Linked DNA regions of Macaca mulatta. Each later gene encodes a partner of the first gene's protein in a complex. Links are inferred from orthologs where the notes say so. Each region holds a gene or a part of one and is shown in the gene's direction. Other genes may lie near its edges. The genes, in order: POLR1B, POLR1H, POLR1E, POLR1C, POLR1F, POLR2H and TAF1A.

What was found.
Region 2: POLR1B (region 1) and POLR1H share a complex: the UniProt entries of both Homo sapiens proteins name them as parts of the pol I pre-initiation complex. The link is inferred for Macaca mulatta from reciprocal best matches to the Homo sapiens genes POLR1B and POLR1H.
Region 3: the proteins of POLR1B (region 1) and POLR1E are in contact, whole or in part, in a cryo-EM structure (PDB 8A43), measured with the Homo sapiens proteins. The link is inferred for Macaca mulatta from reciprocal best matches to the Homo sapiens genes POLR1B and POLR1E. Residues at the interface, in NP_061887.2 of Homo sapiens: Lys254, Ser258, Phe259, Ser260, Tyr262, Gln263, Gln266, Ser295, Thr296, Gln297, Ser338, Thr340, Glu341, Ala532, Cys535, Pro541, Ile542, Asp543, Gly544; in NP_071935.1 of Homo sapiens: Gln27, Ser29, Asn30, Gly31, Tyr69, Thr76, Leu79, Lys80, Cys81, Leu84, Cys85, Met109, Gln110, Pro111, Leu112, Phe113.
Region 4: the proteins of POLR1B (region 1) and POLR1C are in contact, whole or in part, in a cryo-EM structure (PDB 7OBA), measured with the Homo sapiens proteins. The link is inferred for Macaca mulatta from reciprocal best matches to the Homo sapiens genes POLR1B and POLR1C. Residues at the interface, in NP_061887.2 of Homo sapiens: Arg713, Gln715, Lys761, Ala762, Glu765, Arg766, Gly767, His770, Tyr774, Gly816, Val848, Arg872, Pro874, Glu900, Asp901, Phe904, Glu906, Gly908, Lys967, Gly970, Tyr971, Asn972, Phe973, Tyr974, Arg978, Tyr980, Ser981, Gly982, Ile983, Ser984; in NP_976035.1 of Homo sapiens: Ala70, Asn74, Arg77, Arg78, Leu81, Ala82, Gln102, Asp103, Glu104, Ile105, His108, Leu112, Lys220, Asp221, His222, Ala223, Thr230, Ser232, Tyr233, Arg234, Leu235, Asp281, Thr282, Phe283, Ser284, Glu286, Arg289, Arg301.
Region 5: POLR1B (region 1) and POLR1F share a complex: the UniProt entries of both Homo sapiens proteins name them as parts of the RNA polymerase I (Pol I) complex. The link is inferred for Macaca mulatta from reciprocal best matches to the Homo sapiens genes POLR1B and POLR1F.
Region 6: POLR1B (region 1) and POLR2H share a complex: the UniProt entries of both Homo sapiens proteins name them as parts of the pol I pre-initiation complex. The link is inferred for Macaca mulatta from reciprocal best matches to the Homo sapiens genes POLR1B and POLR2H.
Region 7: POLR1B (region 1) and TAF1A share a complex: the UniProt entries of both Homo sapiens proteins name them as parts of the pol I pre-initiation complex. The link is inferred for Macaca mulatta from reciprocal best matches to the Homo sapiens genes POLR1B and TAF1A.

The regions. Positions count from the first base shown.
Region 1 is NC_133418.1:22,638,852-22,642,351, forward strand, and holds part of POLR1B (DNA-directed RNA polymerase I subunit RPA2), read left to right. Parts: intron 1-72; coding exon 73-244; intron 245-1,469; coding exon 1,470-1,751; intron 1,752-3,500. UniProt on the Homo sapiens protein: Catalytic core component of RNA polymerase I (Pol I), a DNA-dependent RNA polymerase which synthesizes ribosomal RNA precursors using the four ribonucleoside triphosphates as substrates.
Region 2 is NC_133409.1:152,983,541-152,987,791, reverse strand, and holds the start of POLR1H (DNA-directed RNA polymerase I subunit RPA12), read left to right. Parts: upstream 1-1,451; coding exon 1,452-1,596; intron 1,597-1,842; coding exon 1,843-1,943; intron 1,944-2,150; coding exon 2,151-2,260; intron 2,261-4,251. UniProt on the Homo sapiens protein: Core component of RNA polymerase I (Pol I), a DNA-dependent RNA polymerase which synthesizes ribosomal RNA precursors using the four ribonucleoside triphosphates as substrates. Can mediate Pol I proofreading of the nascent RNA transcript.
Region 3 is NC_133420.1:62,122,870-62,126,795, reverse strand, and holds the start of POLR1E (DNA-directed RNA polymerase I subunit RPA49), read left to right. Parts: upstream 1-1,126; 5' UTR 1,127-1,226; coding exon 1,227-1,302; intron 1,303-1,872; coding exon 1,873-1,976; intron 1,977-3,043; coding exon 3,044-3,120; intron 3,121-3,926. UniProt on the Homo sapiens protein: Component of RNA polymerase I (Pol I), a DNA-dependent RNA polymerase which synthesizes ribosomal RNA precursors using the four ribonucleoside triphosphates as substrates.
Region 4 is NC_133409.1:138,597,048-138,600,547, reverse strand, and holds part of POLR1C (DNA-directed RNA polymerases I and III subunit RPAC1), read left to right. Parts: intron 1-305; coding exon 306-425; intron 426-514; coding exon 515-667; intron 668-864; coding exon 865-1,014; intron 1,015-1,171; coding exon 1,172-1,288; intron 1,289-1,426; coding exon of another isoform or gene 1,427-1,545; exon of another isoform or gene 1,546-1,762; intron 1,763-2,584; exon of another isoform or gene 2,585-3,500. UniProt on the Homo sapiens protein: DNA-dependent RNA polymerase catalyzes the transcription of DNA into RNA using the four ribonucleoside triphosphates as substrates.
Region 5 is NC_133408.1:108,575,004-108,578,503, forward strand, and holds part of POLR1F (DNA-directed RNA polymerase I subunit RPA43), read left to right. Parts: intron 1-1,735; coding exon 1,736-1,944; intron 1,945-3,500. UniProt on the Homo sapiens protein: Component of RNA polymerase I (Pol I), a DNA-dependent RNA polymerase which synthesizes ribosomal RNA precursors using the four ribonucleoside triphosphates as substrates.
Region 6 is NC_133407.1:96,503,350-96,507,299, forward strand, and holds the start of POLR2H (DNA-directed RNA polymerases I, II, and III subunit RPABC3), read left to right. Parts: upstream 1-1,150; 5' UTR 1,151-1,282; coding exon 1,283-1,355; exon of another isoform or gene 1,356-1,363; coding exon of another isoform or gene 1,364-1,364; intron 1,365-2,754; coding exon 2,755-2,838; intron 2,839-2,921; coding exon 2,922-3,015; intron 3,016-3,950. UniProt on the Homo sapiens protein: DNA-dependent RNA polymerase catalyzes the transcription of DNA into RNA using the four ribonucleoside triphosphates as substrates.
Region 7 is NC_133406.1:80,432,301-80,436,364, reverse strand, and holds the start of TAF1A (TATA box-binding protein-associated factor RNA polymerase I subunit A), read left to right. Parts: upstream 1-1,264; 5' UTR 1,265-1,327; intron 1,328-2,482; 5' UTR 2,483-2,494; coding exon 2,495-2,612; intron 2,613-4,064. UniProt on the Homo sapiens protein: Component of the transcription factor SL1/TIF-IB complex, which is involved in the assembly of the PIC (pre-initiation complex) during RNA polymerase I-dependent transcription.

The DNA.
Region 1 (3,500 bases):
GATTATAGATGTGAGCCACCACACCTAGCTCACATACTATTTTATATTAATTTTTTGTTTTTCTTATTTCAGGAAAAACTGGAAGGTTGGTTAGTGTCTATTAAAATAGCTTTTGATAAGAAGGCTCAGAAGACCAATGTTTCCATGAACACTGACAATTTGATGAGGATTTTTACTATGGGAATAGACCTTACAAAACCATTTGAATACCTTTTTGCTACTGGGAATCTGCGTTCTAAAACAGGTAAAATTAAATAGAGCATTTTAGTTACGTTTTTCAAACTATTTGCTTAATGTAGATTTGCCTGTCCTTGACAGGTTCTTTTTAAAAGCAACCCCCCCCAAAAAAGTAAATTTCTCGTAACTATGACTTTGATGACTATTGGTCTGAAGGACTTTAGACAAGGTGTCTGTATAGCTAAAATTTAATTCAAATAACCAAATACATTTTCTCTGCCTCCTTCTAGAAAATGAAAAGACCACTTAGACCTCTGAGGAAGGCTTACCTAATAGGAATTCTGCATGGGTTGCTGTACATGCCCATCTCTAAACCAGTTGCCTTGCCTCAGAGTGACCTGAGAGGCCAGGTGTGGTGGCTCATGCCTGTAATCCCAGCACTTTGGGAGGCCAAGGTAGGAGGGTGGCTTGACTAGGAGGTCAAGGCTGCAGTGAGCTGTGATTGCACCACTGCACTCCAGCCTGGTGACAGAGTGAGACCCTGTCTCAGCAAAAAAGAGAATGACCCTGGAAACTTAAAAAGTGGTAATTGGGAACCCAGAAATTTTTTTTTTTTTTTTTTTTTTTTTTTGTGAGTCAGGGCCTCACTGTGTCACCCAGTCTAGAGTGCAGTGGCAGAATCATGGCTCACTGCAGCCTTGACCTCCCGGGCTCAGGTGATCCTCCCACCTCAGCCCCACGAGTAGCTGTGACTACAGGCACAAGCCACTACACCTGGCTAATTTTTGTGTTTTTTGTAGAGATGGGGTTTTGCTATGCTGCTAAGGCTGGTCTGGAACTCTTAAGCTCTGGCGAACTACCCACCTCGCCCTCCTGAAGTGCTGGGATTATAGCATTAGCCACTGTGCCCAGCCTTTTTTTTTTTTTTTTTTTAAACCCCTGTTACTGATGCCGATTCTTTCATTAGCCTTCTTACTTGCTTGTCTATTATCTGACCCTCTCAGATGAATTTAACTACTTGCTATTTTATTAACTCATTTAATGTTCTCCTACAAAGGAGGTCATAGAGGAGATAGGGAACTAGTTGGGGCTCATACAGTTTGTGAAATCTGGGGATTATTTTACATATTTTTTTGCGAACTCTTTCCACTCATCAGAGCTAGGAGAATAAATGTTGTAATAATTCATTCTGTAATCTGTAGAGTGCTCTGAGGTTTTGTCGTCACAAAGCCTCAGAAATTTCCGTTTTTTAAAAGATTGGCCCATTTTTGAGTGACTTTTGTTTTATTAAGGTCTTGGCCTCCTACAAAATTCTGGACTTTGTGTTGTGGCTGACAAGCTGAACTTCATACGCTACCTCTCCCATTTCCGCTGCGTGCACAGAGGGGCTGATTTTGCCAAGATGAGGACCACCACAGTACGCCGGCTGCTGCCAGAGTCCTGGGGCTTCCTTTGTCCAGTGCATACCCCAGACGGGGAGCCCTGTGGCCTGATGAACCACCTAACTGCCGTATGTGAGGTTGTCACACAGTTTGTCTATACAGCATCTATTCCGGCTTTACTCTGCAACTTGGGTATGTAGTGTATAGTGATAAACATCTTGCTTGATTTTTTTTTTTGTTTTTTGTGTTTTTTTTGAGATGGAGTCTCGCTCTGTTGCCCATGCTGGAGTGTAGTGGCACGATCTCTGCTCACTGCAAGCTCCGCCTCCCGGGTTCACGCCATTCTCCTGCCTCAGCCTCCCAAGTAGCTGGGACTACAGGCACCCGCCACCACGCCCAGCTAATTTTTTTGTATTTGTAGTAGAGACGGGGTTTCACCATGTTAGCCACGATGGTCTCGATCTCCTGACCTCGTGATGTGCCTGCCTCGGCCTCCCAAAGTGCTGGGATTACAGTTGTGAGCTACCGCGCCCGGCCAAGATTACGTGGTTTTTAACCTGTTAAGTTGTGCTGCTTTTGGAGATTCAGCAGAGACTTTCTGTAAGAATTCGTTTTTACCCTTCTGTGCAGGAGTTGCGCTGCTTTCTTGGCTCCTCTATAGAAGGCTGAACGCATTCTTTGAAAGTGAAAACAGGAGAAACTGTTATAGGTGTTTTGTTTTCTTTCAAAAAAAAAAAAAAAAAAAGAAGATAATGGAAGTGAGGATCGCTTGAGCCCAGGGATTTGAGGCTGCAGTGAGCTGTGATTGTGCCACTGCTGCACTTTAGACTTGGCGAGAAAGTGAGATCCTGTCTCCAAAATAAAAAATAAATCAATGAATAAGAAGGATGCCAAAGCATCTGAAATAGACTAGTCATTAATATTGGAAGCATAGAAGCTATTGAGTAGTTTTTTGGGTCACTTCTCCTTGCATCTCTTGGTGGATCTTTGCATTTCTAAGTAGAAAACAGTGTTGGTTTGCAGGAGGACAGTTTAAAAGATTTTCCAGTCTACCCTAATGTCATCAGATGATAACCATTTTTCCTGATAACCTTACAGCTGCTGTCTCTGCCTCTGCTTTGGCTAGAAAGCTGTCTAATTCTTGGCTTGATACTTGATTTGAATTTATCTTCATACCTAAAGACGTCAGCTTTCTCTGCAGTTTTCTAGTCCCAGGGTTCTCCAATTATGATTTGGAGACTAGAAATGTTCTGTCTTTGGTGGTCTGTGGACAGGTTCACCAGTGGGATTAATATTCATACAGTAAAACTTCCAGTTCATGGGGATCAGACGATAGGTATTCTCAAGCAACTAGAAGGGCATTGACTCAAAGTTCTGCTCAAAAGTACTTCTCCCAATTAGAGTGGCCTGGCCAGGCGTGGTGGCTCATGCCTGTAATCCCAGCACTTTGGGAAGCCGAGGTGTGCAGATCACTTGAGGTCAGGAGTTTAAGACCAGCCTGGCCAACATGGCAAAACCCCATCTCTACTAAAAATACAAAAAAAAAAAAAAAAATTAGCTGGGTGTGGTGGCATGTGCATGTGGTCCCAGCTACTCAGGAAGCTGAGGCAGTAGAATCGCTTGAATCCAGGAGGTGGAGGTTGCAGTGAGCCAAGATTGCACCACTGCACTCCAGCCTGGGTGACAGAGTGAGACTCCATCTTAAAAAAAAAAAAGAGAGAGAGAGAGAGAGAGCGTGGCCTGTAGGAAGAGGGCCCCACAGAAAGTAATCAAGAAATACTCAAGATTCAGACGATGTAATCAGTGTAATTTGAAGGTTTATCCTCTACGAGGAAAATAATTTTGTTACTGGTGATTCGAAATGTCAAAGTCCAGGAGAGGGTAGAAAGGAGAAAAGAATAAAGTGGAGAGGTAGAAAATAGATCCAACTGCAGAAAAAGA
Region 2 (4,251 bases), on another chromosome or scaffold:
CAGTTAAGTGATAGGGCTTGTCACTCTTCAGCAGTTTGCTGAGTTTTAACCCTTTAACTATGGTGTTCTCTCCATTATCACAGAGAAAGGCAGGTGGGAGCCTCTCCCAGCGAAAAGACTACAGCTTGTGTCCTTCACAGGACAAAATAGTGATGGCTCCAGAACTTTCATATGAAGGAACTTAGCACAGCTATCAGAGTAGGTGGTGGTGGGAGGACTAGCAGGAAACTAGTAAACAACGACAAGCTGCCCCTTCAGGGAAAGTTTCTACTTCGAATATAAGTTACAGAGTAACGAAAATAGCAAGATTTCCGAAAGAAACTTATTCCCATGTTTTATAAAAGATCAGGGAAATGTCAGCTGTCCACTTAATGGATGACGAATAATGAATTAAGAGTTCGATAAGCGGCAGGCACAACTAAAAGCCAAACTCGACCTAAGTCTTATGAAATCCTACTTAATGAGCTTCTTGACTACTGCTAGCCTCACTTATCTGGCAGGAGTCGAAGGAGGGGAAGCCCCAAGCTCTTCTGTTCTACCACCTCCAAAGTCCTGAGCCCCTTCTCAAGTGTCCCACTTCATCCCTGCTTCCTTTCGTCCCGTGGGACTAAGGATTCCTCTGGCCTTCACCCTCACCACTTGCTGTCCCTCAAGAAGCCGACTCACCCCTTTCCAAGCGCGGTGAACCGTCCGCAAAGCACACAGGCCGGCTGCGCTCTGCAGAAAGCCCACGCTCGCCAGCGGGACCCAAGGAACGCTAGAACTATACATGCCAGAACACTTAGCTTTGTTTTTAACTACTGTGCAGCCGCAAAAGGGAAATACCAGCTCAGGACCCAGGGGAGTTGTAGTTCTCTAATCCAAAGAAGTCATTATTCAGCAAAGTACGGTTTTCAGGAGGATATTCCCCCGCGATTGGGTTCCCGTAGGATGTGAAACAGAGAATAAATATCCCAGGATTCGGTGCTGGTGGGAAAATTTGCTGGAAGCGCAGCATTGGTTACCAATTTTGTGCTCAACGTCTCAGTACCAGCCTGAAAGTTGAGCCCCAACCTCCCTTAGAAGTGGTGACTCTCCATCTCTAAGGCTTCCGAGACACGGTACGCAATTAATTATGACGTCACAGCCAATCGTCAGCGTGAAAGCGTGACGCTCTAGCCGGCTCTAGCTCGCTGCCCCGCCGCGGGCGCAGAGCTGGCGCTCTAGCCCACGGAGTTGGCCAGCTCCTCTCGCCGGCCCCAGGAAAGGGTTCCAAGTCCTTTTAGTACCCGACGCTGTCTGGGAGTTCCGGGCGTTTCGGCTCCTTGGTCGCAGAGGCAGGAGGCGTGCGTGGGAGGAGGACTCGGGTTATATACTCCTACGTCCTGGGACGGAATAGTTACCACCTCTGGGGCAGGAACTCTTCTCTCTTTTGTTAATAAACTTCTAACTCCCTCCTCAGACCCGACTGCATGTCTGTCATGGACCTCGCCGGTACTTGCTCCAGCTTTCAGTCGGACTTGGATTTCTGTTCAGATTGCGGCTCGGTCCTGCCTCTGCCCGGGGCTCAGGATACGGTCACCTGTACTCGCTGTGGCTTCAACATCAACGTTCGGGGTGAGAGGCTTGTACACAGGGGTCCTGGCGGAGGGCCCAGGATCGGAAGCTTGGGGAACTCAAGATCGGTTGGGTTGAGAAGGGGATCCTAGAGCAGGACATCAGGCAGTTGTACATTTGGTTCAGCGATGAAAACTGAGGGAAAGGATATAGGGCCTCCTGGCCTAACCAGCCAGGGGAGAGGGGAAGTTTCCGGTGTCAGCTCCCTCAGGTTGTCTCCATAACCCGTCTTACTTGCCTGTGCAGACTTTGAGGGGAAGGTTGTGAAGACTTCAGTTGTGTTCCACCAACTGGGGACAGCCATGCCTATGTCGGTGGAGGAAGGGCCTGAGTGCCAGGGACCTGTGGTAAGTTAATGAGATCAAGAACTGGCTCCATAAGGTGGGTAGGAAAGAAATGGAGGAGTGATTGCAGAGATCTGGAGAGTTTTGTGCCCAATTCCAAGTGGGAAAAGATGTAAAGCATCGATGTTTGAGAGGCGTGATCGCCTGATTCCTGTGGGAAGTAAGGGTATGATATGACCTGGCCTCCATAACCCACCAGTTTCTTCCCAGGTTGACAGGCGCTGCCCTCGATGTGGTCATGAAGGAATGGCATACCACACCAGACAGATGCGTTCAGCCGATGAAGGGCAAACTGTCTTCTACACCTGTACCAACTGCAAGTGGGTATCCTTTCCCCTCCCTTTGCTCAGTCTGTTTGCTAACTAATAAACAAATCCAGTGATTTATTTTTTTGTACTAAACGGCTGTGTCCTTTCGTCCCATCCCTTATTTCTGTGCAGTTCTGGTAAGAGGGAGATTTGTAGTTTTTATTTTTTTAAATTACACTTTTTTAACCCTTTTTGTAACCAGTGAAATAAACCTTTTAGGTTTTTTTTTTTTTTTACGGACAGGGTGTTGCTCTGTCACCTAGCCTGGAGTGCAGTGAGGCAATCTTGGCTCACTGCAACCTCCGCCTCCTGGGCTCAGGTAATCCTCCCACCTCAGCCTCCAAAATAGCTTTGGGACCACAGGCACGTGCCACCACACCTGGCTTTTTGTTTTGTTTTGTTTTTTGTATTTTTAGTAGAGATAGGGTTTCTCTCTGTTTCCCAGGCTGGTCTTGAACTCCTGAGCTCAATCAACCCACCTCAGCATCCCAAAGTGCTGGGGATTACAGGCATGAGCCACCCTGCCTGACCTTCTTTTAGGATATTTAAAAGGAAATGAATAAAAAAAACCAGAAGAAGCAAGTATTGTTTAGTGGTCAGCGTCTTATACTGCAGTCTTCAACCGCAGTCAAGGTAGCTTTACTTTGGAGAGAATTAGTCACACATGATTTAGAGAACATGGGCTTTCTGAATGCTTTTAAGACCTCATCTTTGTCTTTGGTGTTCTGCAGTCACTATAGTATATCAAAATGTGATTTTCTTTTATTCTGTTTGGGATTTGTTGGACTTTCTGAAACTGAGAGTGCATTGTTGTTTTTTGTTTTTTTTTTTGAAACGGAGTCTCGCTCTGTCTCCCAGGCTGGAGTGCAGTGGTGTGTTCTCCGCTCACTGCAAGCTCCGCCTCCCGGGTTCATGCCATTCTCCTGCCTCAGCCTCCTGAATAGCTGGGACTACAGGTGCCCGCCACCACGCCCGGCTAATTTTTTGTGTTTTTTAGTAGAGACAAGATTTCACTGTGTTAGCCAGGATGATCTCGATCTCCTGACCTTGTGATCCACCCGCCTCGGCCTCCCCAAGTGCTGGGATTACAGGTGTGAGCCACTGCGCCTGGCCTAGAGTGGATTTTTTTTTTCATCAACCTTGGAAAATTATCAGCCATCATCTCTTTTAATATTCTCTTTCCCCCATGTTCTCAGTCCTCACATTCTGGACCTCTAATTAGTTACTAGAATGAGATTTCTCTCTTCTGTCCTCCATTTCTCTCGCCTTCTTTTCATATTTTCAATCGCTTTTCTCTTTATGCCACCTTCTGAGTAATTTCTTCAGGTTCCTCTTCCATGTCACTAATTCTGTCTTCAGTTTATTTCAAGTATTATTATTTTTTACTATTGTTATTATTTTGAGTTCTATTTAATTACTTTTCAAATCTCAATTTTTAAATAATTCTCAGTTCCTTAATAATATTTTAAATTGTTCCTTTTACTAGTCTTTATATATTTAAAATATTAAATGTGGTTATTATATTCTATGTCTCATAATTCTGATATCCGTGGATTTTGTGTGTCTGATGCTGCTGTCTGTTTCTGCTGTCTCTCTCATAGTGCTTTTTTCTTTGTTTTGTAATTTTTGACAATAAATTTGAGTTTTTTAGAACTTGAACTGTAGGAATTCTCTGAGGCCTTGGGTAAGTGTTGTATTCTCAGCATTTGTGTTTCTTTTCTAGGTGCCTTGAAGCACTATCAAGCTGGAATTACTTTAAATAAATTCTTGGCTTCATGTTTTTTGGAGCAGACAGATAGTATGAATTTGAGCTGCAAATCCATGTAAGGGCTAGCTTATGGCTAGAAATTCTCAGGAAAGAGTTTTCTCTCTTTCTACCTACTGAGACAGTCAAATTCCCCTTCTATAGAGTTGAATTTCTTTCTTTTCTTGTTCACTTTTACAAAAAAGGGCAGGCTTTTGCAGTTCCCAAATTTATGCACAGGATCTCCTATCAACCTTGC
Region 3 (3,926 bases), on another chromosome or scaffold:
GACTAATGATTATTTTTTTGTAGAGACAGGGTCTTGTTATGTTGCCCAGCCTGGTCTCAAATTCCTAGAATCAAGGGATAGAACTGCCTCTGCCTCTGCGCCTGGCAATTTGCTGATGGCTGTGTTGTTATTTAGGGAACGTCCTTGTCTGTAGGAAATACTATAGTCTTCAGGGGTGAAAGGGTATCAGGTTGACAGCTTACTCTAAATGGTTCAGGGCAAAAAAAGTTCTTGCAGTGTTTCTTTAAGTTTGAGACTGGGTAATTAGAAAAGAGTGACAAGTTGCAGGCTTTAAGATTATTCCTAGGATTCTGGGTGTTGGAGGTGGGTGTGAGGATGTGTGGAAGGAAAAGAGTTCTGAAAGAAGGTGATTTGGAAGACAGAGGGGAGTCAGCCTGAGTTCTTGCCCTTCAATAGCACGCATCTTTGGGCAAAGGGGGCCTCGGCCAGGGTCCATGCTTAAAGGTCCTGCTTTTGTCTTTTTTCTGCTCTGAAAACTCCCCGTGCAGAAGAATGGTTGAATCCGCAGTGAAAAAGGGACATGTCTATCAGCTCGGACTCCCTCTTCTATTTCAGTCCAGAATCTCCTGCCCAAAGGCTCTGGGGTTGGTTGGGCTTCTGTTCCATCACCTCAGGGTTGATCGGGCCACATGTGTGCACGCCACAGCGCATTGCGGGGCGCTGTTTGTCGGACTGTGGACAAAGCTTGTACCTAGAACTGGATGTCCACGTGGGTGGGTGGGAGGTCCTAGAGAGGGGCGGCTTTTTGCCAGCGGCCACATTTAGTTGGGGCTCAAGGAGTTCCTGTTAGAGAATTCTAAATTTGAACTTGGTCTTTCAGGTCTTGGGAAGACGTGTTTGTCACGGTAGGAGAGAGACGACACTCTCTCTAGACTGTGCTGAGCCGGAAGAAGGCTCACAGCAAGCTTAGGCTGAAGCCGTAGGACGCCTCAAGCTCTGGACCTACAACACCCAGAGTGCAAGCGAGCGCTGAGCTAATCACGTGCTGCGCCTCGGCCAGTCGCGCGAATATGTGGCACCTTGTGGGCGGAGACCGCGCCTCTCCGCGCGGGGGGCGGGGACACGCGGCTCGCGCACTGTGGGCGGTGCCCGGCTGGGGCCACGCCTTTTCCGGCCTGCCGCGCGGCCTAGGCTCCCGCGTGTTTAAAAGAGGGTTTGTGGCTACTGCTGTCTTAACTGCTGTACTTGGCGGACAGACAGGCGAGATGGCGGCGGAGGTGTTGCCGAGTGCGAGGTGGCAGTATTGTGGGGCGCCCGACGGGAGCCAGAGAGCTGTACTGGGTAAAGACTGCAGAGCTGGAGCAGTGCTCCTCTAACCCTCCCCCCTTCCGTCTCGGTATCTCAGCTGTCCCCTCGCACTCCGTTAGGCTTCTCCCCAGCGGGGCCAGGACGCCTGTAGTCTCCACCACTCTCCTGGGCTCGGTCGGGGCTGCCCTGTCCGTCTTTCTGTCACTACCGCCCAGCCGGATTGGGACATCCCACTCACCCGCTCCCCAGGGCTGTGTCCAGGACCCTGCTGTCCCCTCACCCACCAGGTCTCCCACCTCCCCCGTTTCCCTCTCTTCACTGGGCAGGGGTTCCTTCTGTCACTTTAGGTGTGGACCAGGCGTCTGCTGTCAGCCTCCTTCCGCGAGACATTCCCCCCTGTCACAGCCCCTCCCCAGGGTTCTCCCACCTCCCTAACCCCTCTTCTCAGCTGGCCCCGGATCTCCTCTAGTTCCCTTTGGGTCAGGACCCGAGCTTCCTTGCCATCCCCATTCTGACACTCACTCCCTCCCAGTGACAGTCTAGTCCCACCGTACATTGTGTGGCCTTCTGCTCTCACCTGATTCTTGGGCTGCACTCTTACAGTCCAGTTCTCCAACGGGAAGCTACAGAGTCCGGGCAACATGCGCTTTACCTTGTATGAGAACAAAGATTCCACCAACCCCAGGAAGAGGAATCAACGGATCCTGGTAAGTGAAGCAGTTGCCAGCTGTCTCCACTCTGCAGGGCTCAGAAGGCGCCTGGGAGTGGGTGGTGTGGGAGGGAGTGAGGGGAGAAACAGGAGAGTAGTAGCAAATGGACCTTTGAAGAACTCTGATGCCCAGCAACTTGGGATGTGGGGACAGGCTCCATCTTTCATTCATTTATTCTTTCAACAAGCATTTATGGAACCTCCTCTGTATCCCTGTGCTGCAAGCTTCTAGGAAAACAGCCAAATCAGGCCTAGCCCCACTCGGAGTTCATACTCTAGAACAGGGTTTCTTAACCTCAGGACTATTGACTTTTGGGGCCAATAATTCTTTGCTGTGGGGGCAGCATCCCTAGTCTCTACTCACTGGATGCCAGTAGCACCAGAGTGGATTTCCCTGGATTGAGAACCTCTGCTCTAGAGAGATGAGAACTGGCTGTGAGGGACACTTTTACACAAAGCTCTGAGGCCACGTGCGGAAGATTACAGGGCAGAGTGAGCTCAGTGGGAGGAGAGGTCTCTGCCAGAATGCCTTCCTTAGGGAGGTCATGTTGGAGCTGAGCCTTGAAGGCTGGAACGAGGGTTTGGCAGTCAAGGTTTGGTGTTCTAAGTGAAAAGGATAGCGAGGACAAATGCAGAGAAGCAGGAAAGCTTGCTTATGATTGGGGAGTCAATCAGCCATGGTCCTGAGAGTATACAAAGAACAGTCATGGGAGAGATGGGCCAAAGAGAGATTGCTTACAGAATCACTTTGTTGCATGCCTATAAGTGCTAGAAGCCCAGGGCCTCTCTCTCAAGTCTTGTGATAGAATTCCCCCAAGAGCTTTTCATACCATTTAGAAGCTAGCACCATCTGAGGCTTCTCTTCCAAAAGCTGTCTTGCTTCCCCCGCAGGGACACCCCATATTCCCTTAGAGAGAGTGGAGCTGGATCATCTGCCAGAGATGAACTAGTTCTAATCCATTGTGAGTCTGGATTCAAAAGCCTCAGCAAATGTAGAAAAGAGAGATGATACTTAATACCTTTCAACATTGGTTGTAAATGGAGTTTCTCCTCTCTGCATTTTAGGCAGCTGAAACAGATAGACTTTCCTATGTGGGAAACAATTTTGGTACTGGAGCCCTCAAATGCAACACTTTGTGCAGGTAATGGCAGGGGAAGGGACAGCGGGAAGGGTGATGGGGTTGGGAGTGGTGGCAGCACTGGCACTGCTGTTTCCTGTCTGTTTTAAGGGCAGTAGGAGCCATCTAGAGCGGTTTACTAGGTGATTCCTGTGTTCCTATTAGACATAGAGCCCTTCCCCTCACCTGTAGACATTGCTGGAAAGGAAAGATAACTTGAATTTCCTAAAAACCTCATTTGTAACCTTGTTTGTTTATAGCTGTCTTATTCCAAAAGGCAGCTCTCTCCATTAATTTGGAATGTGTGACTAGTAGGTCAAAGCTTGTGTGAAGTTTACCTGGGAACTAACGACAGGTAAAGAACTTGGTAGTGTTGAAGGCTCTGGGCTGGGAAAGAGAAGCCTGGGATTCCCATCCCTCTGTGCTGCTGTTTGACTGAGTGGCTGGGTAACTCTGCCCATCACTGACCCCTAGTCTGTACAATGAAGATTGTCCAACCTCAACTATATCACTCTCGGGGGCTGGCATGATGCAGACAGGGCCCTGTGATGGTACCCAACAATGAACTACAAACCAGGCCCTTTCTGAGCCTTACTGGACCATACTCCAATAGAGGTCAGATTGCTGTATAGGTGCTGAGAACTACTAACCCTGCACTCTCCCCTCTCAACGATGCCCTAGTTCCAACTGGTCTCCTTCCCGTTTACTTGATTTTGCCTCCATAAAACTGTTGTGCCATAAATTCTAGTGTAATTCTAGATTCCTACACCCCAAAAGAGTTTTCCATTACAGTACAGCAGCGAGCCCAAATGTGATCAACTACCAGAATC
Region 4 (3,500 bases), on another chromosome or scaffold:
TCGCCCAGGCTGGAGTGCAGTGGCCGGATCTCAGCTCACTGCAAGCTCTGCCTCCCGGGTTTTTACGCCATTCTCCTGCCTCAGCCTCCCGAGTAGCCGGGACTACAGGCGCCCGCCACCTCGCCCGGCTAGTTTTTGTATTTTTTAGTAGAGACGGGGTTTCACGGTGTTAGCCAGGATGGTCTCGAACTCCTGACCTCGTGATCCGCCCGTCTCGGCCTCCCAAAGTGCTGGGATTACAGGCTTGAGCCACCGCGCCCGGCCAGATGTTTACTAGTTCTTAAGAGCTCCCTCCATTTGTGCAGGAGATGAAGACGGCACAGAGATAGATACCCTACGGTTTCGTCTCCAAGTCAGATGCACTCGGAACCCCCATGCTGCTAAAGATTCCTCTGACCCCAACGAACTGTATGTGAACCACAAAGGTAAGTAGTGGTAGGGTGAGGAAGAGGCCCCACCTGTGGGTGGCTGCTAGTTTTAGGAACTGAAATCTTTTGACATGTTTTTCCTCCAGTGTATACCAGGCATATGACATGGATCCCCCTGGGGAATCAGGCTGATCTTTTCCCAGAGGGCACTATCCGACCAGTGCACGATGACATCCTCATTGCTCAGCTGCGGCCTGGCCAAGAAATTGACCTGCTTATGCACTGTGTCAAGGGCATTGGTGAGAACCCTGTGTTCCTTCCTGGGAAGAGGGGTAGTTTGGTTGCAGTGGGGCAAGCTGACTAGGGAACTCAGCTGAGATATTCCTAGCAGGTAGAAAGCCAAGAGCATCGTGCTTTTGCTGTTAGCAGCTTAGGAAGAGTATTCTTCCTAATCCTAGAAGGGTTTCGTATAGGCACTTTCTCTCTTCCTCTCCAGGCAAAGATCATGCCAAGTTTTCACCAGTGGCAACAGCCAGTTATAGGCTCCTGCCAGACATCACCCTGCTTGAGCCCGTGGAAGGGGAGGCAGCTGAGGAGTTGAGCAGGTGCTTCTCACCTGGTGTTATTGAGGTGCAGGAAGTCCAAGGTATGGTATTTGGGGTGCTGTTCAGGTTAGGACCTAAATTATATTTTCTTTGAAGGTGACAGAAATAAAAACCCTGGGTTCCTAAAAGTATAACATGGTTTGCTACCAAGGGGCAAATTAGAAAAAAGAATAAAAAAACGTGGTTTGTTCTCATTAGGTAAAAAGGTGGCCAGAGTTGCCAACCCCCGGCTGGATACCTTCAGCAGAGAAATCTTCCGGCATGAGAAGCTAAAGAAGGTTGTGAGGCTTGCCCGGGTTCGAGATCATTATATCTGTGAGTATGAAGTGGTGAGATGAGTGGGCAGTACTCTTTGGTGCTGCAGCTTCCTTCCAGTCTAGATGTGAAGTTTGAGTAACAGGGGCTTTCTACAGGCAAGCCCCGCCTAGGCTAAAGTGTCTCTTTGATCCCCAGTCTCTGTTGAGTCAACGGGGGTGTTGCCACCAGATGTGCTGGTGAGTGAAGCCATCAAAGTACTGATGGGGAAGTGCCGGCGCTTCTTGGATGAACTAGATGCGGTTCAGATGGACTGAGCTTGGATGTTCCTGAGGCAAGCTGAAGCTTTGGGTTCTGACTGACCCACCCTACAGGACTGCTGTACAGAGAGCCCAGTGTGACTAGGGATCCTGAGTTTTCTGGGACAATTCCAGCTTTATTTTTAATCAATACATTTTGTTAAATGTGCCATAAAATGAGACTTTTAGGCCTTTGTAAGGCCTTAGATGTAAATAAACTCATGTCCAAACAAAACTTTTTGAGACAACTTTTATATTTTTTGAGACAGAGTCTCACTCTGTTGCCCAGGCTGGAGTGCAATGGTGCAATCTCTGCTCACTGCAACCTCCTCCTCCTGGGTTCAAGCAATTCTCTTGCCTCAGCCTCCTGAGTAGCTGGGACTACAGGTGTGTACCACCACGCCTGGCTATGTGTAATTTTTTGTATTTTTAGTAGAGAGAGGGTTTCACCATATTGGTCAGACTGGTCTCAAACTCCTGACCTCAAGTGATCTGTCTGCCTTGGGGCCTCCCAAAGTGTTGGGATTACAGGTGTGAGCCACTGCGAAAAACAGGGCCTCACTTCAGAACTGGTTTGACCTTTAGCAATTAAGAACATCAGATGTACACTCCAGCCTGGGTAACAGTGAGACCCTGTCTCAAAAACAACAAAAAACACCTCCTGAGAATTGGCAAATTAAGGTGGTTTCTGGGAGTACAGCCAAACCCCTAGAAAAACATTCAAGCTAGAGTGAATGCACCATTTCACCTGTCTCCCGGATTACCAGGGAAGTTCATGCCGCTATTGACAGCTCCAACAAAGAACAGTAGCAATTCCTTTGGGCCAGGCCCAGCAGCCACATATGAAAGACACTGTGAGAATGGTATGGGCTGCCTAGTCTGGGTGTGTCAGGATAGAAATCCTTTTCTAACTGGCACACCATTTCAGAAAGCTTGAAAGACCAGGTTCATCAGTCACATTTCTTCCTGTTCAGTCCCCTTTTGCAGGGTGCTCATGGAGTAACTCTGGAGTATGTCACTGGTTTTAAGACTAGGTTGAAAAAGGCAGATGGGTCCCTTTCTGTATGAAACTGAGACTTTTACTGACATGCAGATGTGCTTTGGAGTTAATGTTTCTACAAAAAGTTTCTATAAACAATAGAAAACTTCTAGCATGAAGTCACAGGATGTTAAAAATATTACAACACAATAAATACAACTACACCCTCCACAGCCCCAACCAGACAGGAATAGGCAGCTATCAGGTTTGGAGGGAAACACTCTTGAGATCGCCTTCACAATCCACAGGAACCCAGAGCACCACACGGGAAGAGGGAGCAACATGAGACTCCAACTTCTGCTTCCTCAGCTTTGCCTCTTCCCAATCTGACCCTGCCTCTGGCCCACACCAGCTAAAAACTATAGCTTCAGTCCACTTCGGCTCTCATGGAAACCCTCTTGTCAGTGGATTGGTGGACAACAGGTCTGTTTTTGTGCAGAGCACATGGACACACTGGTTTCTGTATGGATTAAGTCTGCCTTTATGGCCAGTAATAATGTCAGGGCCAGGTCCCATATCCGAGTCCTGTTTATAGGGCCTTTCAGTGACCTCTAGAATGGACTCACAGTACAGGTTGTGATGCGAAGGCATGTATTCTTTTCTTTTGGAGATGGTCTTTGAGAAAAGTAACCAGGGACCTGAAAGACCATGAGATTGCGGAAGGCACCTGGTCTTAGTCCTAGAAGACCAGTGGCTTTGCTAGCTGCTTATCACAGATATAGCCTAGTTGGTCTGTTTTATCCTTGGATGACAATGGTGTCATGTGACACTCTCTAGGGTACTGTGGCTCTTGTGCCTGAGTGGACCTTGAGGCTGGGGAAGCCAAACTGAGGGGTCATTCATGGAAGGGCAAGATGTGTGAGCTCTAAAGGGGATGTTAGCACTAAAGACTGCCCAGCCCTGGTCCTTGGAGGTACTATACTTGACACTGTGC
Region 5 (3,500 bases), on another chromosome or scaffold:
TCTGCCCGCAGACCCTGACCTAAAAGACGGATGAATAAAACCTTCACTGACACACAGATATTCTGTTTTGCCAGTACTGCTGAGTGTCCGACCGCCTACACACCGAGAGAGGTTTGTCCCTGCCACTGGCCCTGAGCAGTTCACACTCCAGGCATTTATTTAGTATACAGTTAACAATATAAGTTCTGAGTCCACACAGTTGTGGATAATTAACATGGTCAAGAGAGTAGTTCTACAAATAATTAAAGCTCAGGTACTGAGGTTTAAAGTAAATGTCATTAGGGGGCAATATCTCTGGGCGACCTCCCCCCGCCCCACCCCCAGAGGGCCATCTGACTTAAAGGTTAGTTAATGGAGGTAGGGTAAACAGACTTAACTGGGGAAGCCTCTATTGTCCCTAGTATTTACCCTATAACTTAATGCTTTAAGGTAAGAACCGGCTGTCTTCAGCCTGTTCAATTATTACAAGCTATATAACCTTTTGGCCTTCCAAAAAGGTTTGTGACTATTCCCTATAACTTTCCCTAATATTTCCCTTTAATATTTCTGCCACTTTCATGAGTGAATCCCAACAACTTATCTTCCATTATAGTATGATACAGAATAGTTTTCCTCTCCTAAAAACTCCTGTGGTCCATCTATTCATGCCTTCCTTCTTCCCTCTGTTCCCTCTAATCCATGGCAACCACTGATCTTTTTACTGTTTCCATAGTTTTGCCTTTTTAAAGAAGAATAGAGTATGTATCCTTTTCAAATTGACTTCTTTCACTTAGCAATATGCATTTAAGGTTTCGCTATGTCTTTTTATGGTGAGAACTTATTTATCTTTGTTACTGAATAATCTTTTATTTTATGGATGTACCAGTTTGTTTATCTAGACCATCTGGAAACTACCAGTGGGAACACTAGACTTCTGACCATACCAGATAGGGAAGTTTTATTATGTCACATGTGTAAAGGGTTGCTGATGTTAAACAGCATTATATAGATGTCAGTATTATTTGCAGTTTTGTAATTCAGAAAATGTGAATTTTTAATATTTCTGGGTCTCATTCATATGCTTTGTATATATTGACCCTGAGAAGAAAAATAAGTTTTATGTAAGAGTCTCATCTTAAAATCATATAGCACATATTTTTGTTTTAGTTTTAAAGCTTCTAATAATACTTTTGTGATTTAGCCAAAAATAGTCATGGTCAATATTTACATATAAAGGGTAAGCTGTCTTCTAATGGAATGCTTGCATCATGCTAAATTAAATAAAGAATGCATTTTTAAGCTTTGAAATTTGGTCTATTTACAGAAACATAACATAGATCCCAGTTATAAAACACATATGAGGTCTTTTTATAGGTTATATGGGAGTATTTTCTGCATGGTTTCAATGTAGCTAAAGAGTAATAATCTCCTCCCCAAGGAATCCTGCAGTGGGGGGTTTAGGTGGTTTTTTTCTTGGACAGGGTGGCGGGGGCAGGTTAGTTTATCCAGTTAGACAGTTAATGTGCAATTACTTATATAATAAAGTTTGAGCTTTCTCAAAACCCAAAGGTATTCTAAAGTGATGTTTTGGCATGACATGGGGTAAGTTTTAATTGAGGTAAACTTTTTCCATATTAAATTAGACCATTAACTTGATGTTTGCTCTTTGAAGATTATTTGAAGCTTGTAAAGTTTGGTTCACCTTTTAACTTTGTGGATCTGTTCTTTATGTTATGCTCTTCCTTCTTCTTCCCAGGGTATAGTTAATAAAGTGTCTTCTAGCCACATTGGCTGTTTAGTACACGGGTGTTTCAATGCCTCCATTCCTAAACCTGAGCAGTTGTCAGCTGAGCAGTGGCTAACCATGGAGATAAACATGGGTGATGAACTAGAATTTGAAGTATTTCGTTTAGACTCAGATGCTGCTGGAGTATTCTGCATTCGGGGAAAACTAAATATCACAAGGTTAGTTTATCATTACATAATTATCATTAGGTACTTAATTTCTATTTAATTCTGAATTTAGAGAACATAAGCCTCTCTTTAAAAATATCTGTTTATAGGAATATTCATGCTTTCAAACCATAAAGTCAATATAAACAATACTCTTTTTTTTTTTTTTTTTTTTTTTTTTGAGACGGAGTCTTGCTCTGTCCCCCTGGCTGGCGTGCAGTGGCGCGATCTCGGCTCACTGCAAGCTCCGCCTCCCGGGATCACACCATTCTCCCGCCTCAGCCTCCTGAGTAGCTGGGACTACAGGCGCCCGCCACCGCGCCCGGCTAATTTTTTGTATTTTTAGTAGAGATGGGGTTTCACTGTGGTCTCGATCTCCTGACCTTGTGATCCACCCGCCTCGGCCTCCCAAAGTGCTGGGATTACAGGCGTGAGCCACCGCGCCCGGCAACAATAGTCTTAAGTAATCTGTAACGGTGCATCAAATATTCTAAAACACTGACTAGCTAATTGATCTGTATTTTAATATCCAGTAGCTCAATTTTGCTGAGTATTTTCTATTTTGTTGTTAACTTTTTTTTTTAAATTGACCTCTAAACTTGAAACTACTGAAAGCACAATTACCTTCCTATTGGCCTGCTTTGTTTTTACACACAAAAAATTGTGTTGATCATTGTCATCTGTGCCAGATATTTTAATTTCTGTATTAGTCTGTATTGAAATTATTGTAAGAATTACTCTGATCTTGAGCTTGATTCCATGGGAGCCAAGTTTAAAGGAAGGAGGAGAGAGACAACTCTTAGAATGCTGCTATTGCTAATAATTTTTTCTATATTTTGCCTTAAAGTTACAAGAGTATGGGTTGAAGTCTGGAACAGTTGTTCAGTTTCTGTGATGACAGAAATATAGTTTATATACATAATACAGCAGCCTCACTATTGAGCATTGAAATGGGACTAAGTCTGACTGAGGAACTGAATTTCTAGTTATGTTGTTGGTATTGATTAGGTACATGTGCCTAGTGCTACTGAGTAAAACTGAAGTTCTGGAGACAGAGCTACTTCATTGATCCATGTTTTATTTTAGTGGTATAAAATAATTCACAATGTTAAAGTAACACTGTCTTAGTATCAGCTAAGTAGAACAATGGACTATTATTTGAAACAGGATTAAAACAGTAGACTGGAAACTCCATTACTTTGATACATACCAGATCGTATTTTCTATTAGATGTCAGTGGTTTGGTTAATAAGCCTAGGTATTGTGGTGTTTAATGTTCAGTGACCAAATTTTTCTGAAACAACCCAAAACTTGGAAGACATGTTTTGACAAGATTCTTATGTCATTTTTATGTGTGGAAACAGTCTGGGAGAAGTTCTTCATAAAGAAGGAATTTAACATTTAATATTAAATTTAACATTTTTCAATTTAACATTCAGCAGCCCATGCATATTTTAGTGGATTGAGGGATAATGGGATAGAATATTTGGAATTTATGCCATGGTTATGTGTCTTGTACTGCTGTCATTATTTAGAAAACCTTAGCCTGTTAGGGTATCTTGATCTCA
Region 6 (3,950 bases), on another chromosome or scaffold:
CCGGAAGGGGTAGGCCGGAGGGAAGGGAGCTCCAGGTGCCGGGAAGTCCACTTCTGGGACGCGGGCGTGGGTCGCTTCTCCCTGGTTGGGCCCAAGGAGGAACCAGAGTCGCTGCTTCCATCTCTCCGCTTTGGGGGAACCGCCTGCTGGTGCTCTGGGTTCTCTATCAGGGGCTGGTGAAGGATAGAACAGATGGCAGAGCGCGCGCAGGGTGGATGGGCAGCATAGAGATAGTGTGAGAGGAGCGAGGGCAGCGCCCAGGAAACGCACAAGTGTGCGGGACAGCCAGCACCAGGAGGAAGGGGCATTTGGGAGGCAGAGGAGGGCCTCAGGGGGCGGGGGCAGTGCCCGGGAAGGGGGAGCCTTGTGATAGAAGCCAGTACCCAGGAGGAAGGGCCAGTGTGAGGGAAGAGCTGGTGTCCAAGGGACAGGGCAGTGCCAGGCTGAAGGGGCACGGAGGGGATCCGTGTCCAGGAGAAGGCAGTGGAGGACTAAGTTGGAGGGGTAATGCCCGGGGGAGGCGGGTGGCGGGAGCCAGGCTGAGGGGGCGGTGACGGGGAAGACAGCAGGGCCTGGGGGAAGCGGGCAGTGGTGGGAGGGTGCAGTACGAGGGGAGGGGACAATACAGGCTTTCCTCTTCTCCATAGCGACATCATGGCAAATTCCCAAACTGGACGGATCCGGCTCGGGTTACATCCAGCAGGGCCGAGCCGGCCCGGGCAGGCCCCGGGGTCCGCGGTGCCGGCTGGAGGGGCTGGGCACCTCTGGGGCGGGGTTCTGCTCCACCTGCCCTCGGCGCGGACTGTGCCCTAGGCGGGCACGCAGACCGGCGGGGTAGGGCTAGGGCCCGGCTTCTCTGGGCCAAGGATCAAGGTCCCTGCCTGGGTTAGGCCCCCACGACTTCCAATCTTCGGGACCCGGCCTCTGAAGAGGGCGCAGCAGAGCCCCAGCTGAGCGCTAGAACCCGCTCTACAGCCGCGGGAGGTTGGACCTATTGTTTCCCCGCCCTGGGCGGGGCCACCTGGACGTGAGACCCGCCCTCAACGCCGAAGCCTCTCGGGAGCAATCTTTTGGGGCGGAAGTTAAGTAGCCCCGAGCGGGAGTCTGTGGCGGAAGTGGGCGCGTTACCACTTGTTTGTGCGCATGCGCCACTCTTGTCTGGCTGCCGCGCATGTAAAAGCTGGTTTTGCTCTTCTCCCCTCTTCTGCACCAGAGCGGGTGCGCGTACTCCCAGCTGTGGTCGCCCGCTCACCCCTTCTGCTGCTCTCGTGGCCCCCTCGCGATGGCGGGCATCCTCTTTGAAGATATTTTCGATGTGAAGGATATTGACCCGGAGGGCAAGAAGTTTGACCGAGGTAAGTAAAGTAGGTAGGGGCGATTTGGAGGAAGAGGCTAACCTCGCGGACATGCCCCTGGACCCCGTGTCCACCCAGCTCTTGTGGCCTGCCCCTACCAGCAGGTCCTGATGTAGGGACCTCCCTCAGGAAACAATTTATGGATGAGAAAAGGGAGACTCCCGAGCTTTCTCTGGCTTCACGCATGCCGTGCCCGGTGCCTAGGTGGCCTTTTGTCATGGTGCTGGCAAACTCCTGGGCATCTTTATAATCGCTACCTGCTCTGTGCTAGACACTGTCTTGTGAGACCAGCCTGGCCAACATGGTGAAACCCCGTCTCTACCAAAAATACAAAAATTACAGGCGGGCGCCTGTAATCCCAGCTACTTGGGAGGCTGAGGCAGGAGAATTGCCTGACCCTGGGAGGCGGAGGTTGCAGTGAGCCAAGATTGCGCCGCTGCACTCCAGCCTGGCAACAGAGCGAGACTCCTCAAGAAAATGAGAGTCCTCATGAGGTGGGTGGTGCCTTCCCCATTTTTTTCTGAGAGAGTAATCCACCCAAGGCTTCACAGCGAGTAATCTGACTTCAGAGCCTATATTCTTGTATTGCCCTCATAATCCTTAGCGCTTTAAGTCTTCTCTGAGTTAGAGTTAGCTGCTTGGTATATCCTTTTTTTTTTTTTTTTTGAGACAGAGCCTCGAGCCCAGGCTGGAGTGTAGTGGCACGATCTTGGCTCACCACAACCTCCGTCTCCCGGGTTCAAGCGATTCTCTGCCTCAGCCTCCCAAGTAGCTGGGATTACAGACATGCTCCACCACGCCTGGCTAATTTTGTATTTTTAGTAGAGACGGGGTTTCACCACTTTGGCCAGGCTGGTCTCGAACTCCTGACCTCAAGTGATCCACCTGCCTCAGCCTCCCAAAATGTTGGGATTACAGGCGTGAGCCACTCCACTGGCCTACACCTCTTAATTTTGTCATCTATCAATAATTTTCTTTTTGATGTCTCATTCTTTGCCTGGAGACTCAGATGTTTTCAAGACGGATACCAGTTCTTATACATCTTGATAACTCCCCTCAGCACAGTGCCTGTCATAGAAAGAGGAAACCTTTGGATGATTGAATAACTTGCCCAGAGTCAGGTTCTCAGTCATCCAGGCAGGCCTAGAACCGGGTATTATTTGCTGCTGAAGTATCTTTGGTTGTTTTCTGGGGATTACGTTCACTTGCCACAGTTTTTCTCCCCTTTTCCTTCTTGCATGTCTGGTTCTGATGGAGCCTGCATTTCTATGAGAGCAGATGAGAGACCAGTGGTTGTAGACTGGGTTAGATTGAGTATTCTGTTGCATACAATCCCACACTGTAGGATCTGCCTTGGGCCTGGCAATACCTCTGTCACTCTTTTCCTGCTTCTCCCCAGTGTCTCGACTGCATTGTGAGAGTGAATCTTTCAAGATGGATCTAATCTTAGATGTAAACATTCAAATTTACCCTGTAGACTTGGGTAAGTATTGAACACAGACAATAATAAGAGGCATTTTGCCGCTTCCGCTATTCTTCACTCTCTGATATTGCTGTTATTTTCAGGTGACAAGTTCCGGTTGGTCATAGCTAGTACCTTGTATGAAGATGGTACCCTGGATGATGGTGAATACAACCCCACTGATGATAGGCCTTCCAGGTGAGGTAGTGGAGAAGGTAATACTTGGAATATGCCTTGAGAACTAAGTAGATAAGTGATATAGAAAGACTCTTCTTTAATTCCTGGAATAAATGATGATCAGCAGAATCTGAGTAACCTTAAGGAAATTTCTGCACTTAAGAATTCAAACAGGCCAGACACCGTGGCTCACACCTGTAATCTAAGCACTTTGGGAGGCCGAGCAGGAGGATTGCTTGGGTACAGGAGTTCAAAACCAGCCTGAGCAACATAGCGAAACCTCACTGCTACAAAAATAAGAAAAAAAGAAAAAAAAAAAAAAAAGGCTGCACATGTTGTCATATGCCTGTAGTTCCAGCTACCTGGGAGGCTGAGGTGGGAGGATTGCCTGAGCCCAGGAGGTTGAGGCTGCAGTGAGCCATGATTGTACCACTGCAATCCAGCCTGGGTGACAGAGTAAGACCCTGTCTCAAAAAAAAAAGAAAAAAATTCCAACAACCAGGTATTTATCTATAACAGTGATTACATGCTTGTGAGTTGTAGCCTTTTGAAGGCTGAGGAGGTGACTGCTGAGTGCCCTAGGCTATGTGGGTCTTGTGTCTTGGGAGGGAGCTTGGTGTGATGGAAAGACTTTGGCACCCCACTTGAGTTCATTTCTCAGCTCTATCACTTATTTGTTGAGTAACCTTAATCTCCTTCAGCCTGTTTCCCCATCAGTAGAATAGAGATGATCATGATCATGCCTAGCTCACGGGGTTGCTGCGAGGACTAAATGACATCATGTTTGTTTGTAATGTGCCTTTTTTTTTTTTTTTTTTTTTTTTAGACGGAGTCTTGTTATGTCGCCCAGACTGGAGTGCAGTGGCTCAATCTCGGCTCACTACAAGCTCCGCTTCCTGGGTTCACGCCAGTCCCGAGTAGCTGGGACTACAGGCGCCCGCCACCACGCCCGGCTA
Region 7 (4,064 bases), on another chromosome or scaffold:
TAACTACTGCATATTGTTTATGAAGACAACATAGAATCAACTATTTGTAGCATTTTAAGGAATCCATGTACATTTTTTTTTTTTTTTTAAAGACAGGGTCTCATTCTGTCGCCCAGGCTGGAGTGCTGTAGTGTGATCACAGTTCACTGCAGCCTCCTCCTCCCCGGGCTCAGGTGATCCTCCCACCTCATCCTCTCGAGTAGCTGGGACTAGAGGCATGCACCACCACCCCAGCTTATTTTTTTAAATTTTTTTTGTAGGGACGGGGTTTCATGATGTTGCCTAGGCTGGTTTCGAACTCCTGAACTCAAACGATCCGCCTGCCTTGCCCTCCCAAAGTGCTGGGATTACAGGCATGAACCACCGTGCCCAGCCTCAAACTCTTACTAGACCCTTTAATTTCCCCTCTGATACTCTGATTCTACCCAAATTGTTCACCTTCACAGAGGAAACTCAGTGATTCGTGGGGGAGCTTATTATTTGTGCATCCTCATTTGTGGACAAAATTCTTTCTTGCTGTGACTTGAAAGCAGCCTCCCTTTAGCTTTCACTTATTAGTCCTAGTTCTGTTCTCTGCTGCTAAGAAAAAAGGTCTGATTCTTCTTTCACGGATCAGCCCTCCAAATGTTGGAGAAGCACACTGCGTTTCCTTAACCGTCTTACTTTTGACCCATATTTCATTTGTTTGTCTCAACGTCCCTCATGCAAGTTGAACCAGACGGGGTCCGCAGAACAATTTTTGCTGAGAAGGCAAAAGAAATTCTCGCCCAAATTGTGGAGAAGGGAGTCGAACCAATTAAACCCAAAGCTAAAACTGTAATAGAAAAGAACTTTCACGCTCGCAATGAACAGGATATGCATGGATTTGTCTCGTCACAGCCACTAGCCACGCCTCCACTCGTGCAGTGCGCCTGCGAGCCGAGCAGAAACCAATGGCCCATCGTAGTGAATTTCTCGTAGTGAAATTCTGCGCTTTAGAATGCTCCCTTCGCCCAGCCGCCGACCCCTCACCCCAATTTCCACTTTAAATGAAAGTCTCCCACTTTCTAGCTGAAATAAAGCTCGGGCAAAACTAATCGGAGAGAGGCAGTTCACTGTCACTTCCTGGGTCACTTCCAGAAGTCACTTCCGGGGTCGAGGCGAGGCCAACAATACGCCTGCTACCGCAGGAGTTACGAGCTGGGCCGCGCGCAGCCTGAATGCCTAAACCAGGTTTTGCGCATGCTCATATAAAGCTCTCCTAACCGTCTTCCGGTGGGAATTTATTCACGTGGTCCGGAGTCGGAGACTGAGTTTAGCTTTACTGAGGAGCTCTAATTTTAAGCGGGTAAGTGCCGCAGATATCGTCCGTGGTTCCTGCGTTTAAATGGGACGGGAAGGGGTGTGTCAGGATTCATCCATGTTCTCCTGATATTTCCTCCTAATACCTGAAACCCTTGGAGTCTGAGAACGAGAGAAGGGGCTAGAGAAGCTTTGGTTGCCGTGGCAACTGCGGGACACCAATTTGGATTTTTGAGGATTTGGAAAGGGAGGATTTGTGTAACTACGCCTCAAAATACATGATGAGTCAGATTCAAATTCATTTGTTACTTATAATTCATACTCGTAGCCACAAAATTTGATTTTAGAAGGTTTTCTCTGGGTGTAATGCAGAGAAGCAAAATCTGAGCCAGGGTAATTATTTAGAAAGCTAATGCAGTAATCTAGGCACTGTTTGAAGGGGTCTTGAACTAGGGTAGTGCTGTAGGATTGCAGAGAAGAGGGGAAATTGGGGAAATTTGGGAGGCAGTATCAGGGGCACTAATACTCGATTTCATATGGGGAATGAGGAAGGGGCCCTGAGCATCTTTAGGAGTAAGTCCAAACTCAGCTTGGCTTATTATTTTTTTAGGTTCGTTTCTCACCTTCCGCACCCCCCTCCACACACACCCCGACTTCTAGTCATGCTAAGTAGTTTAGTGTTCTATTTCCTAGAATAACGTCCTCACCTTTATTGTGATGTTAGGCAGGTTCTATCATTTCACTAAGCCCCTCAGTTTTTTCAATCTTAACATGGAAGAAAGTAATAGTACCCACCTCAGGATTGCTGTGGGGATTAAATTAGATAATTTATACTTCTGGTGCGTAGTAAGGGCCTAATAAATATTAGCTGCTAGTACTATTCTTATTATACTTCTCGTATTGTTTTGTTATTATACGTTTTGCTGTTTCTTCGTCTAGACCTGAGATTTTTTTAAATTAGAGGGGCAGTATCTTACTTATCTTTATATGGACTTGAAACATTAGTAGTTCGGTCTTTTTAATGTCTCATTCATTTTGGCTGTTGCTGACATAGTTAAATTCATTTTTTACTTTAAAAGAGCTGACAGGTATCATGCATTTTGCTGATCAAATTGTATTTATTAGATAAAAAGATAGCTGTTTTTCTGTACAACTCAGAAGACTGTGGATTAAGATGTACAGAAAGTAACTGATATCTCAGTTTGTAATAGGTATGAGTGATTTCAGTGAAGAATTAAAAGGGCCTGTGACAGATGATGAAGTGGAAACATCTGTGCTCACTGGGGCAGGAATGCATTTTCCTTGGCTTCAAACATACGTAGAAACTGTGGGTAAGTAAAACAGTAACATTGAGCCATTTTAACTTAAAATGTAAGGAGATGGTAAGATTCAATATGGATACAAAATCAATAACCAGGCTGGTTTAATTTTCAAGAGGAATATGTGGAGTGTTTTTAGGCTGTAAGCCAAAAAAAAGTGTTTTTTCTTTTAGAACTCTTTGACTTTGGATTAACAGTAGTCTGTATTATGCTAGATACACATTTTTTCCAGTAATACTTACTGAGCACTTTTATTTCTGGCATTGATTAAATATTGGGGAGTCATAGATGAAGAAGATACGGTCTCTGCCATTGAGGAAAACATGCCCAGGAAGTGTTCAAGAAGTTGCTGTTGAATTGCATTGAAATTATTTCAAATAGAATTGATCATGTAATAGATTTTTTTTTTTTTTGGAGACAGAGTCTTGCTCTGTTGCCCACACTGGAGTGCAGTGGCTAGATCTCGGCTCACTGCAACCTCTGCCTCCCGGGTTCAAGTGATTCTACTCAACCTCCCAAGTAGCTGAGATTACAGGTACCCGCCACCACGCCTGGCTAGTTTTTGTATTTTTAGTAGAGACAGGATTTCACCATGTTGGCCAGGCTGGTCTTGAACTCTTGACCTCAAGTGACCTGCCCTCCTCAGCCTCCCAAAGTGGTGGGATTACAGGTGTGAGTCACTGCACCCGGCCTAGATAAAAGAGCATTTTCCCTCATTTTTATCTAATGTAAATGCAAGCATGTTTTTCTATGGGATAAAATTTCCCCCATTTTTATCTAATATAAATGCAAGTATGTTTTTTTATGGGATAAATTCCCTATAATAATTTATTTAATATAAGTATAAATAAAAGAAGCTATTATTTGTATGCTGGCGTATTGAGTGGTTTACATTTGGGATTACATTTGAACCAGCATTTTACTTACTGCCCTTAAATATGTATTTTTTTGCCCAGACTTTTCTCCCCTTGACAGAGATTCCTTGGCTCCTAAAATTTCGCTTCCATTTTTTCTTTCGATCTAAGTATCATCTCATTTAATGATCTCAGTAAATTCTCAATAAATTTTTGTGCTAGGCAGTTTAGGTAGGAGGAAACTGAACCTCAAAGACATTAAATTCGTAAGTGGTGGTATCAGAAGGCAAATCCAGGTTTGTCTGATCTCAAAGCCTACACTTTTAACCACTGAGATATATTTTTTAAAATGAGACAATATATGTAAAGTACCTAGCATAGTATCTCATGCATAGTGAGTGTTGAAAAATAATAGTGCCTTTCCTCTCCTCATTTTAGTTTTGCTAGATTAATGCACGTGGCTTAAGGCAGATTTGAATGAATGATACTTCAGAGATAGTGCTACTTCATCCCTGGTAGGGAACTAATAATTTAAATTTCCTATAGTTATATCATACTTGGGTATATTTCTGTTACCAGTGTTCTATAGAAAGTCTGAGTCAGTCTGCAA